3 linked regions of the Coturnix japonica genome follow. The protein of the gene in region 1 purifies or fractionates together with the protein of each later gene. This does not show direct contact. Links are inferred from orthologs where the notes say so. Each region holds a gene or a part of one and is shown on either strand. Other genes may lie near its edges.

Region 1 (3,581 bases):
AGGAGTTAAGAGAACAGGTATATAATGCCATGGGGGAGGAAGAAGAGGTGAAGAAGTCTCCAGTGCTAACTGAGAAGGAAATCAAAGGAGAGGATGTTGAAATGGAAGATGTTACAGAAGAAAAGCCAAAAGAAGAAACAGTTACAGATGTGGAGGTAAAGCTTGAAGGGTCTGCAGAGAAGACAGAGACTTCTGTGGAGAAAGTGAATTCGGAAGAGCATGACCAGCAGACGGCTGTGGAAAAGAATGCAGAAGCAGCAGTTGTGGAAGAGAAGGCAGTGGAGAAAGAGCAGGACACAAAGCATGAAGAAGCAGAGGCAACTGAGGGCAGGAACAGCACAAAGGAGGTGTTGGATGAGAAGGTGAAGGCAGCTGTGGAAGAGAACGAAGCTGCAGAAGCACCGGCAGAAAAGAAAGGAGGGGCAGGAGAGCAGACAGCAGGAACAGCGGAAACTGAGACGGCAGAGCAGAAAGAAGCTGCGGAAGAACAAGCAGAAGCAGTTGAAAAGAAGGTGGAGGAGAAGGAGTCAGTGGAGACAGCTCCAGAACAGAAACNGACACAAAGCATGAAGAAGCAGAGGCAACTGAGGGCAGGAACAGCACAAAGGAGGTGTTGGATGAGAAGGTGAAGGCAGCTGTGGAAGAGAACGAGTCTGTAGAAGGGCAGGCAGAGGAGAAGGCAGTGTCACAAGAAGGGACAGCAGAAGGGCAGGCAGCAGCTGTGGCAGAGCAGAAAGAAGCTGCGGAAGAACAAGCAGAAGCAGTTGAAAAGAAGGTGGAGGAGAAGGAGTCAGTGGAGACAGCTCCAGAACAGAAACCAGATGAATCCAAAGAGGTGGATTCCTCAAAAGAACCAGTGTCTGCAGTGGGTGAAGATCCAGCTAATGATACAGGAGAAAAGACTGAAGTGGCTGCTAAGGTAGAGAAAGAGGAAAAGAAAGATGACCAGATGGAAGAGAGTGAAGGTGCTAAGGTAGAAAAAGAAGAGAAAGATGACCAGATGGAAGAGGGAGAAGGTAACAGTGAGGAGAAAAGTACTTGTGGGTGGCTGACTTGCTGGATTTGGCTAACAGTGGGTAAAGTGTTCCATTCAGGATTTTCTGTTTGCCTTAAAATGAGGAAAAATGGGGTTTAGAAGGATTTTACATCCGAGTAACTGGCTTCAGTAAAGTTTCAAGAACTAGAGAATAGTCTCAGTTTCTTTAGACTAACGCTTAACTAACTGCAAAGCAAATCTTTAAAGCAAACTTACAGCCCTGTGAAATGCGTAAGTAAAGGCTCGGCTGGTGGAGAATACTGAATGGATGTTCACTTGCATGCATTTGGGTTTAACGCACTAACCTTCAAATAACTTAAATCACGAGTTGCCTCTGGTTATAACTGTACTTTAAAACAGTGGTGCAGAAAAATAAGAACTGCTGAATTTATAATAAAGTGATAAATTAGCTTTCCAGAGGGCAGGGAGTAATTTTCTGTTTGAGTCTTCCTAGCAGTAATCAAAAGTGAGAATTTGGCTGACGAATGCAGGCTTATTGCTTCCATCTAGCGCAGTTTTGGAGCTCCCTGCTTTTTCTGCCATTCTGCTTCCCTGCTTCATTATGGCTTTTTGCAAGGTTACGTTAAAGTCGCCTGGTAAAACCTATGTGCTTTGCTGTAGTTGTATGTGCATGGCCTTAGTAGGCTGTGGATTTCTGTTGGACAAGTTCATCAATATTCTGCTAATAGAAACTTGGCTTGTCAGTAGCTCAGCTGCACAGGAAGAGCCTTGTTGAGGAGAGGCAAGTCTTCAGATCAAATAGTTCTGGATACTGGGAGGACTTGTACCGCTCAGCACAGTGAGCACAGTAATGAAGCAGCTGCCTGGGAAGGTGTCTGTCTGACCAGAGTGTGACTGAACATAAACTGAGAACAGTTACCCACTCTTCTTTATCCTATGAAGGACTGCTTATGTACATGCTGCTTTCTTTTGCTCAGACTCTTGTTGTTATGAGGACACCCTTGAACATCTTAATCTGGTGCACTGACAGCAGCTGTTCTGTTTTAGATTTGATCAGGCTGTCCATGTACTTAATTATTTTGGTGCTCTTTGGCTGGTGTTGGCAGTCGGACTGAGCAGCTCATGGGTTTTCTAGTCACCACAACAAGCTCCTGTTGTCCTAGAATTAGTCAGTGGTCACAGTCTGAGTTGGTTGACTTGAAGCTGAAGTCACAGAAATTAGCAGTTGTTAAGGTAATCAGATTCCTTACCTGCACACCTCAAAAATCTACCAGTAGAGCAGATGATGCAAAACTTGCACAATATCACAAGTCAAATAGCACTGTATGACAGCAGGTTCATTGGTAATGTTGTGAATATCTGAAGTGAGGAACTCAAATTCAGGAGCAGTCTTATCTGTATGCAGCTTGCTAGTTATCTTGCTGAAAATGCTTGTTATCTGTAGCATGGAGTTCCAACAACTGACCAGTGCCTCTATGGCTGCTTGGGATTCCATGTGTTCAGTGGGGATTCACAGTGTGTTAGTGGGAACAATTCTAGCTAAGTTTCCATGCTGCCATTATGAAGTTACATTTTAAAATGTAAACTGAGGTTGCCTGGAACTACCTTAGTTTACAGTGCCTGATGTTTTCAGCAAGATGGCTGCTGCTGTGAGTAATTTTACCTGTGCTCTCCTTAATCACACTTCTAACCTCTCACTGGAAGGGTAAGGGCTGGGTCAAATATTCTGCCTGGCTCCAGGTGATGCGACACAGTAACAAGCATTCTCATTCATCTTGCTTTTCTCACAGAAACAGAAGAATCTGAAGAGGAAGACAAAGAAAATGATAAAGCTGAAGATGATAAGGAGAATGAATTGGCAGTGGAAGACAAGGTGAGGTTGCTGAGCTCTGATGTTGGCGCTATTGAATGCAAGGTCTGTCTAAATGTCACATGAATATCTTTAAGCTTTTGAAAGTTCACTTGTATTTTGTTTATTCCTGTACAGGAAGTTAGTTCTGTGCAGTGAAACCAATGTTGCCTAATGGAGGGGCATCAGTGCCTTATAGGCATACATGTTCTTCCTTCGAGTAGCAAAGCATTCATCCCTTGGTCAAAATGTACTCCTTGGGAATGCTGTTTAAAAGCATAAGGTTGTTTAATGTGACAGGTATCCAAATGGCTTCATATTTTATGCATTTCTGGTTTTGCAGGAAAGTGAGGAGGAGGAAATTGGCAATCTTGAGCTGGCCTGGGACATGCTGGAGTTGGCCAAAGTCATCTATAAGAGGTAAAATCTGAGGCTGTGATTTGAATGTTTGCTAGAGAAGCTCCCTGAGTTGGGAGGTGGTGAAGGCATAACGCTGTGTATTTCAAAGACTTGAAAACAGTTGTTTTTTTTTTTCCCCTTGATTTAGGCAAGAAACAAAAGAAGCTCAGCTTCACGCAGCTCAGGCTCATCTAAAGCTAGGAGAAGTTAGCATTGAATCTGGTAAGTAGTGCTAATTGTTGTGTATGAACTGCTAAGTTAAGTCTTGCCATGTTTTATTTCATACTCAAAAATGAATAGAGGTGATTTAAGGCTGAGAAGGTTGGGGAGGGGTTG
Region 2 (4,095 bases), on another chromosome or scaffold:
CTTTATCAGGGAAGCTGATGCTTTCTCCAGTCCTCATAAACTAGGCCATCCCACCACCTTTCTCCAGTCTGCAGAAGCCCCTCTATTTTCATAGACTGGTTAAGCTGCGATTCTCCTACAGCAGGTAGGGCCCATTTACTTGCTGGGAGCTGTAATGAGAATTTGTTCAGTCTGTAGGAATGTCTCCAGCATTTAGGCTTGCAACTGATTTTTTTCCTCATTAATGAAACCGTAACCCCTCATACAGCACGGCACAACGGGCCAGGTTCTGCATCAGAGATTCTGTTTACCCCATAAGCACCTGGTGTTGGCTGCTGGGGTACTAAGCACTCATTGGGTCAGCTGGTGACCTTCTGTTGGAGCCTATGTAATCTGCTGTGTTCAAGGAGTGGGGACATAAGAGGCTAGATCGCTTAAGGTTATCATACCATCACTTGCAGTTATTCCAGGAAAACAAACTCATTCTAAAGCAGTAATACTTGGTACTGAAAAACAAGCCTTTGAAGATAACTTATACCTTTAAAAGGTTGATCTGATACTGCTGATACATGATGACTTGGAATAATTTAAAGACGGGGGAAGTGAACTCAATTAATTTACTTTTAAGACCAGTGGTGCACAGGACTGGCTGTAAACAGCAGAGCAGACATTAGCACACAAACGCTAAGGAAATGACAGCAATTCATTCTCTTCAAGAAGCTGTTTAACCTCATTTTTAAACGTGAAAGATAGCAATGCTTACCCTAAACATATCCTGTAGCCTAACCTTTGTCAGATGGGGGAAGGGAACTGAGAATTTTGAACTGGGCCACCTCCAGTTCTCATCCTGACTGTCCAGATTAATCGCACTGTTAAACACACAGTTAGGAGTGGTCACAAACCAAAGGAAAGGCAAGGTGATGCCTAGTGCCTGTGCTGCTGCAGGCACTGCTGTGTGAGGATTCAGGTGCTGCTGTCCTGAGTGAGCCCTGACTGCCTGAGTCAGGGAGGAGCAGCCATCAGCATCGGGATGTGCACGGAGCTTAATGGCGCGGGCTGCTCAAACTGAGACGCTGATCAGTTTTAGGAAGGGGGCAGAGGCGTGGGGGGAACCTCAAACGCAGACAGGACTTTGACAAAGTTCCTGACAGCACCGCCAACCCGCCACACAGGGACAGAAACCCGCGCCGAGTGTTGAGGGAGGCAAACTGAACCACAGCAGCAATAGAAACGTCCCCATTCTCTACTGCCACGAGTTTCTTTCCCTGCCTCCCGCTGTCTGCCCTGGTTCCCCGGCGAGCAGGCGGCACTGTGCCCCATAGCGGCACCTGTCCTGTGGCTGCTCCATCGGAGCGGCCTTTTCCTGTCTCTCGGTGCCGCTCATCCCGCCGCTTCCTTCGCCGTGCGCCGCCGCGTTCGAATCTCCCGCCCGGTTGTTCCCGCGCGGACTCTCGGGGCGCCTCCCGCGGAGAGGCGCGGCGCGGCCTGCCGGCGGCACGGACACATCGTGCCGAGCGAGCCGGCCCACAGCGGGCCGGGGGCTGCTCGCGGCCCGCCGTGCGGACGGGAGGACTCGAGCCCGGCCGAGAAGGGTCCCTCAGCCGCGTCTCCCGTCCCGGGGTCCCCGCGGGGCGGCGTGCAGGGCGGCGCCGAGCCGCCTCCCCCGGCGGCAGCCGGTAACTTTCGAGTGACTTCCAAAAATAGTGGCTACCGCCTCCCCCTCCTCCCGGCACGGCTCCGCGCCTCCGGACCGCCACCCACCGGGCTCCGAGCACTGCGCCCACCGAGAGCCGCCCGCTCGTCCGCCCGGCCTCCAGCTCTGTTTTTTTCCTTTTCTTTTTTTTTTTTTTTCCTTCCCTCCTTTTAAGTATTAAAATGGACCGTGAGGCCCCGCACCGCACGCTCCAAACGCTGCCCGCGCTGCGGGTACCTCCCGTTGGCAGCGCTACGGCCGCGCAACAGTTCCGCTCCCGCGTCGCGGGGCCGCGCGGCGCCCTGCCCGCCCGCCCGCTCCCGCTCTGCCCCCCCACGCACACACAAAGCTGGCAACATGGCTACCACCACTCTAACAAGTTCCTCGCAACTTGAAGGCGGCCTCGGCGACGGCGCGGCGGGGAGCGAAGCGGAGCGGCGGCCCCGGAGCGAGGGCTCCGCCGCTAACTTTCCCTGCCCGGGCCGGGGCCGGGCGGCCCCGCCGTAGCTCCGCATCCCCCGCGTGGCCGCACGGCTCTGCGGGGAGGAGAACCGTGCGGCGGCGGGAGCAGGCCCGGCCCGAAGGGAGCCCGCCCGGCCCCGCATCCGACAGCCCGGGCACCGCCGAACCCGCGTCCGGAGAGCGGTACTCACCTTCCGACAGGTCCTCTATGCACTCAAATGTGATTTCGAACTGGAAAGGGTTGTAGAAAGGAGAAGGGTTGTCCAACACCACTACATTGTTCACCTGAACCTTTGCCATATTTTGAAAAAAATCACAATAGGAGGAGCGGGTGAACGCCGCACGGCAAAGTCCCGAGCGGTGATCTCCGCCTCGCACGAAGCCCCCTGCCCCCCGTCGGAGCGAGGCTGCGGAGCCGCGACTTGGGGAAACTTTTCTTCCCCCCTTTTATTTACACCGGGAGCACTCCACTCTGTTCGCAGCTTTCCTATTTCACTCAACTACGGCCCATTCTGCCCTGCTCTCCGCCAGCGCCCGTCCGGATTGGCCGCGCGCTGGGCTAGGGCCCTCCTCCCCGAGCCGAGCCGACCGCCGAGCGGCGGCAAGACAGGCACCGCCGCCGCCCGCCCGGCCCCTCCGCGCCGCTCGGCGCCCCCGCCCGGCCGGCGCCCGACACCGCCGCCAAACCGCCCGGCAGCCGCCGGCCAACGGCCGCGCAGAGCGGGGAGGGGCCGGGCCGAGCGGGCGGGGCCGAGCGCGGAGCCGAGGGGCGGCCCCGGGAGCCGTAGGCCGCGCCCCTGCTCGCGCGTGGGTTTCCGCCATGTGCTGTGGGTTTTGCCGGTTGTTAGTGCCCGAGGAAGGCGTGTTTTCATTCTTTTTAATTCTTTTCGCGAACCCGGAGGTGTCAGGTGTTACGTGCTGACTGGGGACTGCCCGACCGAGCCCTGGTCCGCTGTGTGAGCGGCCTCCAGAAAGCTGTCAACCCGTGGCTGTGCTGTAGTGAAGCCTCCGGCAGCGCCGCACGCCCCGAACACAAGCGGCCCTTGGAGGAGGCCATTTTAGGCTGCCGTGTGCGGGAATGGCAGCGGGGATATGTCATGTCACCGCCCGCCGCTGGGCTGGGGAGAGCCGTGCCCCGGGCTGGGGGTGTGAGGTGTTTCTCGTCAGCGTGAGAGGCGATTCCCGGAGGAAATAAATACGTGGTCATGCAGTAATCGTGCCTGCGGGGAACACTTAATGTGCGGCAGGAAGGTACGGAGCAGACATCTTGCCTGAGCCATGCAGGCAAGCAGCAGAGTGCTGCCATGTCTACAGTGAGGCCCTTAGCCGTCCTCCAAGCCACTGCCAGGTTTGGAAAGGTGATTATGCTTCTGTGTTGACAAAGAAGTGTCTGATAGTTGCCTCATCTGTTGCTCAGTGTACATTTTTAGCATTCCTCGTGTCAGATGAAAGGCCAGATTGGGCACAGTAGAAGAGACTCCTCACAACAAGCTACTATTACTATCAAGAAACATAAATTGCCAATAATTTCTGACTGATCTGCACAGAGATGTGCCATGGGAAGATCCTTGGGCAAGTTTCGTTGTAACATTCCAGGAGGTTTCAGGCTGGCAGCAGCTTGTCATCTACCAGGATATTTTGAGCAGAGCGCTTTGGAGTGAAAAAGAAGGGCTAAAGATAGAGAAAAGGCTGGGGAGTAGGGACGAGGAAATGGGAAAGAGCTGCACATACTTGATAGTGAGCAGCCATTATCACAGCTTAGAAACATTTCTGACCTTCCGTGCTCCCAGTGTTGCATCACATGTAGATTCACAAGTGCCTGCTGGGAACTTATTTGGTTCATTTCATTTTGGATTATTATTTTTTTTTCTTCTAAGCTTTATTTTTCAGCTCTGCAATATTTGTCTATTTTAGTGGTTGGTGAATGCATCCATTCTATACATTTGTGGGCTTTGTAGTCA
Region 3 (4,144 bases), on another chromosome or scaffold:
TTGTTCTTCAGACCTTGGTATTAGAGGTCTTTGCTGGTAATGTGAAAACATCTGCTCAAGTAGCATCTACTCACACTCAGTAATGTAGCAAACAAGTATTTTATTCATGCTGACAGAGTTAACAGCAGCTACTGCACAGTAACTGCAACTGAAGTTCTTCCATCACAAACTTTATGATTAGTGAGTGAAATCAGAAGTTAAAGTAGGATTTTCTATGAAAATTTATAGAAGACTGTAATACTCAATTCCCAGATATCCTCTGCAGTTAAAATAACTACCTAAAATTGGAAGGGATATAGCTCTTCGCACAGGCATTAAAGTGATTGTTCAGCCCCATTAACAAGGCGTAGGTAGCTCAAGAAAACAGTGACATACTAATTTTGAATGAGTTACAAGTGCACGCAATGCTGTAGGAGTTAACAGCGCTATTAAATGTTCTTTTTTAATTTAAAAAAAAAAAAAAGGAGAATATGGAACTACAGTCTCATTGCTGTTTTACTCCAGTAAAACTGGAGATGAAGTAAAAAGGATTTTCCATCAATAGGAGATATTCCAAGAGAAAAGTGAACGAAGGGTTTCTTAATAACAGGATGAAACTCAGCCCTCTCAATGGCAGTTTTCGTCTTCTTCAGCTTGATTCAGAGAACGACCCAGTTGAATCAAAGTAGCAAGATTAAAAACAACAAAAAAACAAACCAGAAAAAAAGGGAAAACAGAGTAATCCTGAAACATCACCATGGAACGAATTAGGACTCAGAAGAGTACAGCCATGTCCACATTTATACCCCTATGCTCACGGGAAAGGCGTGTTTTTTTGTTTTTAATGGCATTAAATTTTAATTTTTTCTAACGTTGTATGTAGAACATCTACACTCTCACAAAGAAAAAAGTAAACTGACAGGTATATTCTATTACTTCTCATCCTTTGGATTTAGAAAGACACAAGAGGAAAACCAAAACGTTATATATATAGATTAAATAAAAATAGTCACAAAATGAGTATTTGAACTGTTGTTCAAATGGAAGAGAAATGCTTCACCGGTTAGCAGCTCAAAGGCTTCAGTATTTAGGTTACAATGATGTTTTGTCTCACAAGCCAACCGTGCATTTAAAAGTCGACTAAGTTTTGCAGAACAAACTGTTAATAGTAGTTCTTAAGAGTGCTTAAAATGTTAATTATTTTTACTTTCTTAATAAGTAAAGCTATTTGTACTGCTCAAGGAAACAAAATGCTGAAGGTTTGGAAAGATTAAAAAACACAGATGTATTACCTACTGTCTTATTAATTAACAATACAGGTAAGTTTCAGATATAAGTAAGTCAGTAATTCCACTTGTATTCTATATATGGTATTAAGCAAGTTAGCTATATAAAGCAATAAACAGTTCTGAAAAATAGAGTAGTACTTTTTCTACACAGATTTTAAAGACTTTGTTGAAGATAGCTTGTGTTGTCTACATGTTGAGGGAGAGGTGGAAAAAACAAACCAAAAAACACTTTCCAGCTTTACTTATTGTGTTTCCTCAGAAGAACAATGGTGCATACTTAGGACTACATAGTAGCAAAAGTTCTAGAGAAGAAGAAACTAAGAGAATATAGTTAATAACTCAAGAAGAACAAGGTGGCATCATCCCAATGCAGTTTAGCAGTATGTTAATAGATTGCTGATGTTATTACACAGGTAAAAGCCTGAGTTTCTGTAGCTGTACTGTACCATTCTCAATAAAACTACACTATGAATTCCTATTCTTGTGCCTGTATATTTATAAATGCATATTATCAGCTAATTAGATTAAATTACAAGGACTTTATTAAATAGATATTAAAATATTCCAAACACATAATATTTAAAAATTGGCATTACCTAGTTTGAGCTGTATTGCTTCATTTGTGTTACATTTGTATTCAGCCAGCTTCTTCTCCATAGGAGTCAGTCCTAAAGAAAAAGATTTTGGGAAGAGTTTCGATATGTACAATCTGGGTCAGCGTAATTCAATGATTCAATGTAATTCAATGTTAAGAAAAAGGCTCTCAAGAACAGAAGGAACAACATCATAACGCTGACTTCATTTCATAATGCACTGCTCTCCCTGCAGCTCCTACTTTGTCATTCTCTTTACTTTTCAAGCCAATCTGTTTTCTCACTATGAAGTGTTTTCCAAAATAAATGCAGATGTGTTTGAATAAGGGTTAATGCATGTCAGGAGATCTTGAACTGTGGCAGGAATGCTACCAAGCTGTTACGTAGCTATTACCTTCTTTCCAGAGTGGATGAGGCAGGAAATTACAGGTAGCCTGTTTCCCAGCGTCTAATCCAGCACACAAAAGGCGTGTCATTCATCAAGGCATTTTTCAAGTGTGTTAAACCCACCCTGTCTCCCTATTCCAGCAGCATTAGCAGAAGTTCTTCCTCCCATTTCAAGCAATTCAGAATAAGGTTACTCCAGAAGTGTTCTCAATGACCCGGCGGGCACAGAGCCGCACACGGTGTGTAAATACAGCCCCGCTGCAGAGCTGACCCACGGCAGCGGCCGCCCAGCCCACGGCCCGGTCCGCAGGGCCCGAGATGGCCCCGAGCTCCTGCTGTGCTGCGGGGGGCGAGGCCAGCAAAGGGCCCTGCTCCCGTTCGTGGCCCAGCACAAACTCGGGCCCGGTCGCGGGGAGGAGCACCGTCCGCGCCCAGGGCGACTGCTCCCCTTAATAGAAGATGGACGACGGCTCCCACACCCCGGCGGCTGCAGTCAGGCTGCAATCAGGCCGCCGACCGGCCGGCCCCGGCCTACGACTCACCCGCCATTTCCCAGCGGCGGCGGCGGCCGAGTCACCCGGGCACAACGAATCAAGCCGCGCGCCCACTCGGCGGAAGTGAGAAGACGCGCACACACTTCCGCTTCCGCCCGCCCAAAAGCGGCCGGGAACCGCCAGCTGAGGCTGGACCCCGTGTGCGCATGCGCAGCCGCGTGCCGGCGGGAGCCTTTAAGGAGCCGCGCGTTGGCTCAGCGGCTCATTGGCACAGCCCCGCCCCAGGGGCAGCCTGCAGCGGGGTTACTGATGTGTCGTTACTTCAGCCTCACACCTGCCTCAGTGCCGGGACGGGATGAGGGACCCGGGGCCGATTCGCTCTCGTTAAAGCGTTAGTGGCTTCGCCTCAGGGTCCGGCCCTGCGGAGCGCAGCAGCGGCGCTGGCAGAGCAGGCAGGTTCCTTCCAAATCCCTTCTGCGAGCTCGGACGCCGAGCTGCTGTGCCGGTCTGCGCTGCCCCGCGCCCGGCGGGTCCCGCTCTGCCTTACGGTCACACCGGCCGCTCCGACCCTCACCGCCGCCAGGCGCCGTACGGCCGCTCCCTGCCGTGTCCCTGCCGTGTCCCTGCCGCGTGCCTGGCCGCTCCCTGCCGTGTCCCTGCCGTGCTGCGGGCTGAGGCTGCAGCGCTGTCCCGTTGTGCTGGGCCGCCACATCCCCAGGGCATTGCCCCGCTCAGCGGCACGAGCCGTGCACGAGCGCCTCTCGCCCCGATGCGGCGGCCCCCGACGCTGTCACACGGAGCCGGCTGAGCGTCCGCTGCAGCCCGACCCGACCCGGCCGGCACCGGTCGCCGCGCTGCGGGATTTGGAGGCGCGGGGCCGCCGACACGGTACGGCGGATACCGAGGGCAGCCCGCCGGGCGGGGCAGGGCGGGGCCGGGCGCTGCCTCCCACGGCGCGGCGCTGAGGCGGCGGCGCTGCGGCGGCGCGGCGGGTGGGTAGAGGCGCGCGGCTCCTCCTCCCGCTCGCCGGCGCAGCATGGCGGTCAAGGTGACTCCTCCGTCGTCGGGCGGCCGCCGTGCCTGCCCGCGGGGCCCCGAGGGACGCGGGACGAAGCCGGAGGCGGGGGGGGGGCGGCTGCGGGGAAGGGGCAGCGCGGTCGGTCCTGCCTCCGTCCGCCGAGGAGCAGCGGCGCGGGCCGAGGCCGTTACTCGGCGCGTGAGGGAGGGAACGGTCGCGGCCCGGCGCTCCGCATCCCCAGGGACGGGCGCGGTGCGGGACCCGCGCGCTGGGCCGGCTGTCAGCGGGTGACACGGGATGTCGTGTTTGAGTCTTATCGGTTAGATAAGGCAGCCGATACCGCCGCCCTTATCGGCACTCATTGCGTTTTTGTTCCCGAGTTGT

The links.
Region 2: the proteins of NASP (region 1) and ASF1A purify together in Homo sapiens (affinity purification with mass spectrometry; 6 studies listed by BioGRID and IntAct, counting the BioPlex papers as one, with this or other methods). This does not show direct contact. The link is inferred for Coturnix japonica from reciprocal best matches to the Homo sapiens genes NASP and ASF1A.
Region 3: the proteins of NASP (region 1) and HAT1 purify together in Homo sapiens (affinity purification with mass spectrometry; 3 studies listed by BioGRID and IntAct, with this or other methods). This does not show direct contact. The link is inferred for Coturnix japonica from reciprocal best matches to the Homo sapiens genes NASP and HAT1.

What each region holds. Positions count from the first base shown.
Region 1 is NC_029523.1:18,774,598-18,778,178, forward strand, and holds part of NASP (nuclear autoantigenic sperm protein), read left to right. Parts: coding exon 1-459; intron 460-594; coding exon of another isoform or gene 595-632; coding exon 633-1,016; intron 1,017-2,787; coding exon 2,788-2,870; intron 2,871-3,189; coding exon 3,190-3,266; intron 3,267-3,393; coding exon 3,394-3,467; intron 3,468-3,581. UniProt on the Homo sapiens protein: Component of the histone chaperone network. Binds and stabilizes histone H3-H4 not bound to chromatin to maintain a soluble reservoir and modulate degradation by chaperone-mediated autophagy.
Region 2 is NC_029518.1:57,106,831-57,110,925, forward strand, and holds the start of ASF1A (histone chaperone ASF1A), read right to left. Parts: upstream 2,821-4,095; 5' UTR 2,435-2,820; coding exon 2,326-2,434; intron 1-2,325. UniProt on the Homo sapiens protein: Histone chaperone that facilitates histone deposition and histone exchange and removal during nucleosome assembly and disassembly.
Region 3 is NC_029522.1:16,001,537-16,005,680, forward strand, and holds the start of HAT1 (histone acetyltransferase type B catalytic subunit), read right to left. Parts: upstream 2,867-4,144; 5' UTR 2,798-2,866; coding exon 2,791-2,797; intron 2,650-2,790; exon of another isoform or gene 2,418-2,649; coding exon of another isoform or gene 2,372-2,417; intron 2,310-2,371; coding exon 2,256-2,309; intron 1,937-2,255; coding exon 1,865-1,936; intron 1-1,864. Other genes in the region: SLC25A12 (calcium-binding mitochondrial carrier protein Aralar1), read left to right, coding at 2,949-3,044. UniProt on the Homo sapiens protein: Histone acetyltransferase that plays a role in different biological processes including cell cycle progression, glucose metabolism, histone production or DNA damage repair. Coordinates histone production and acetylation via H4 promoter binding.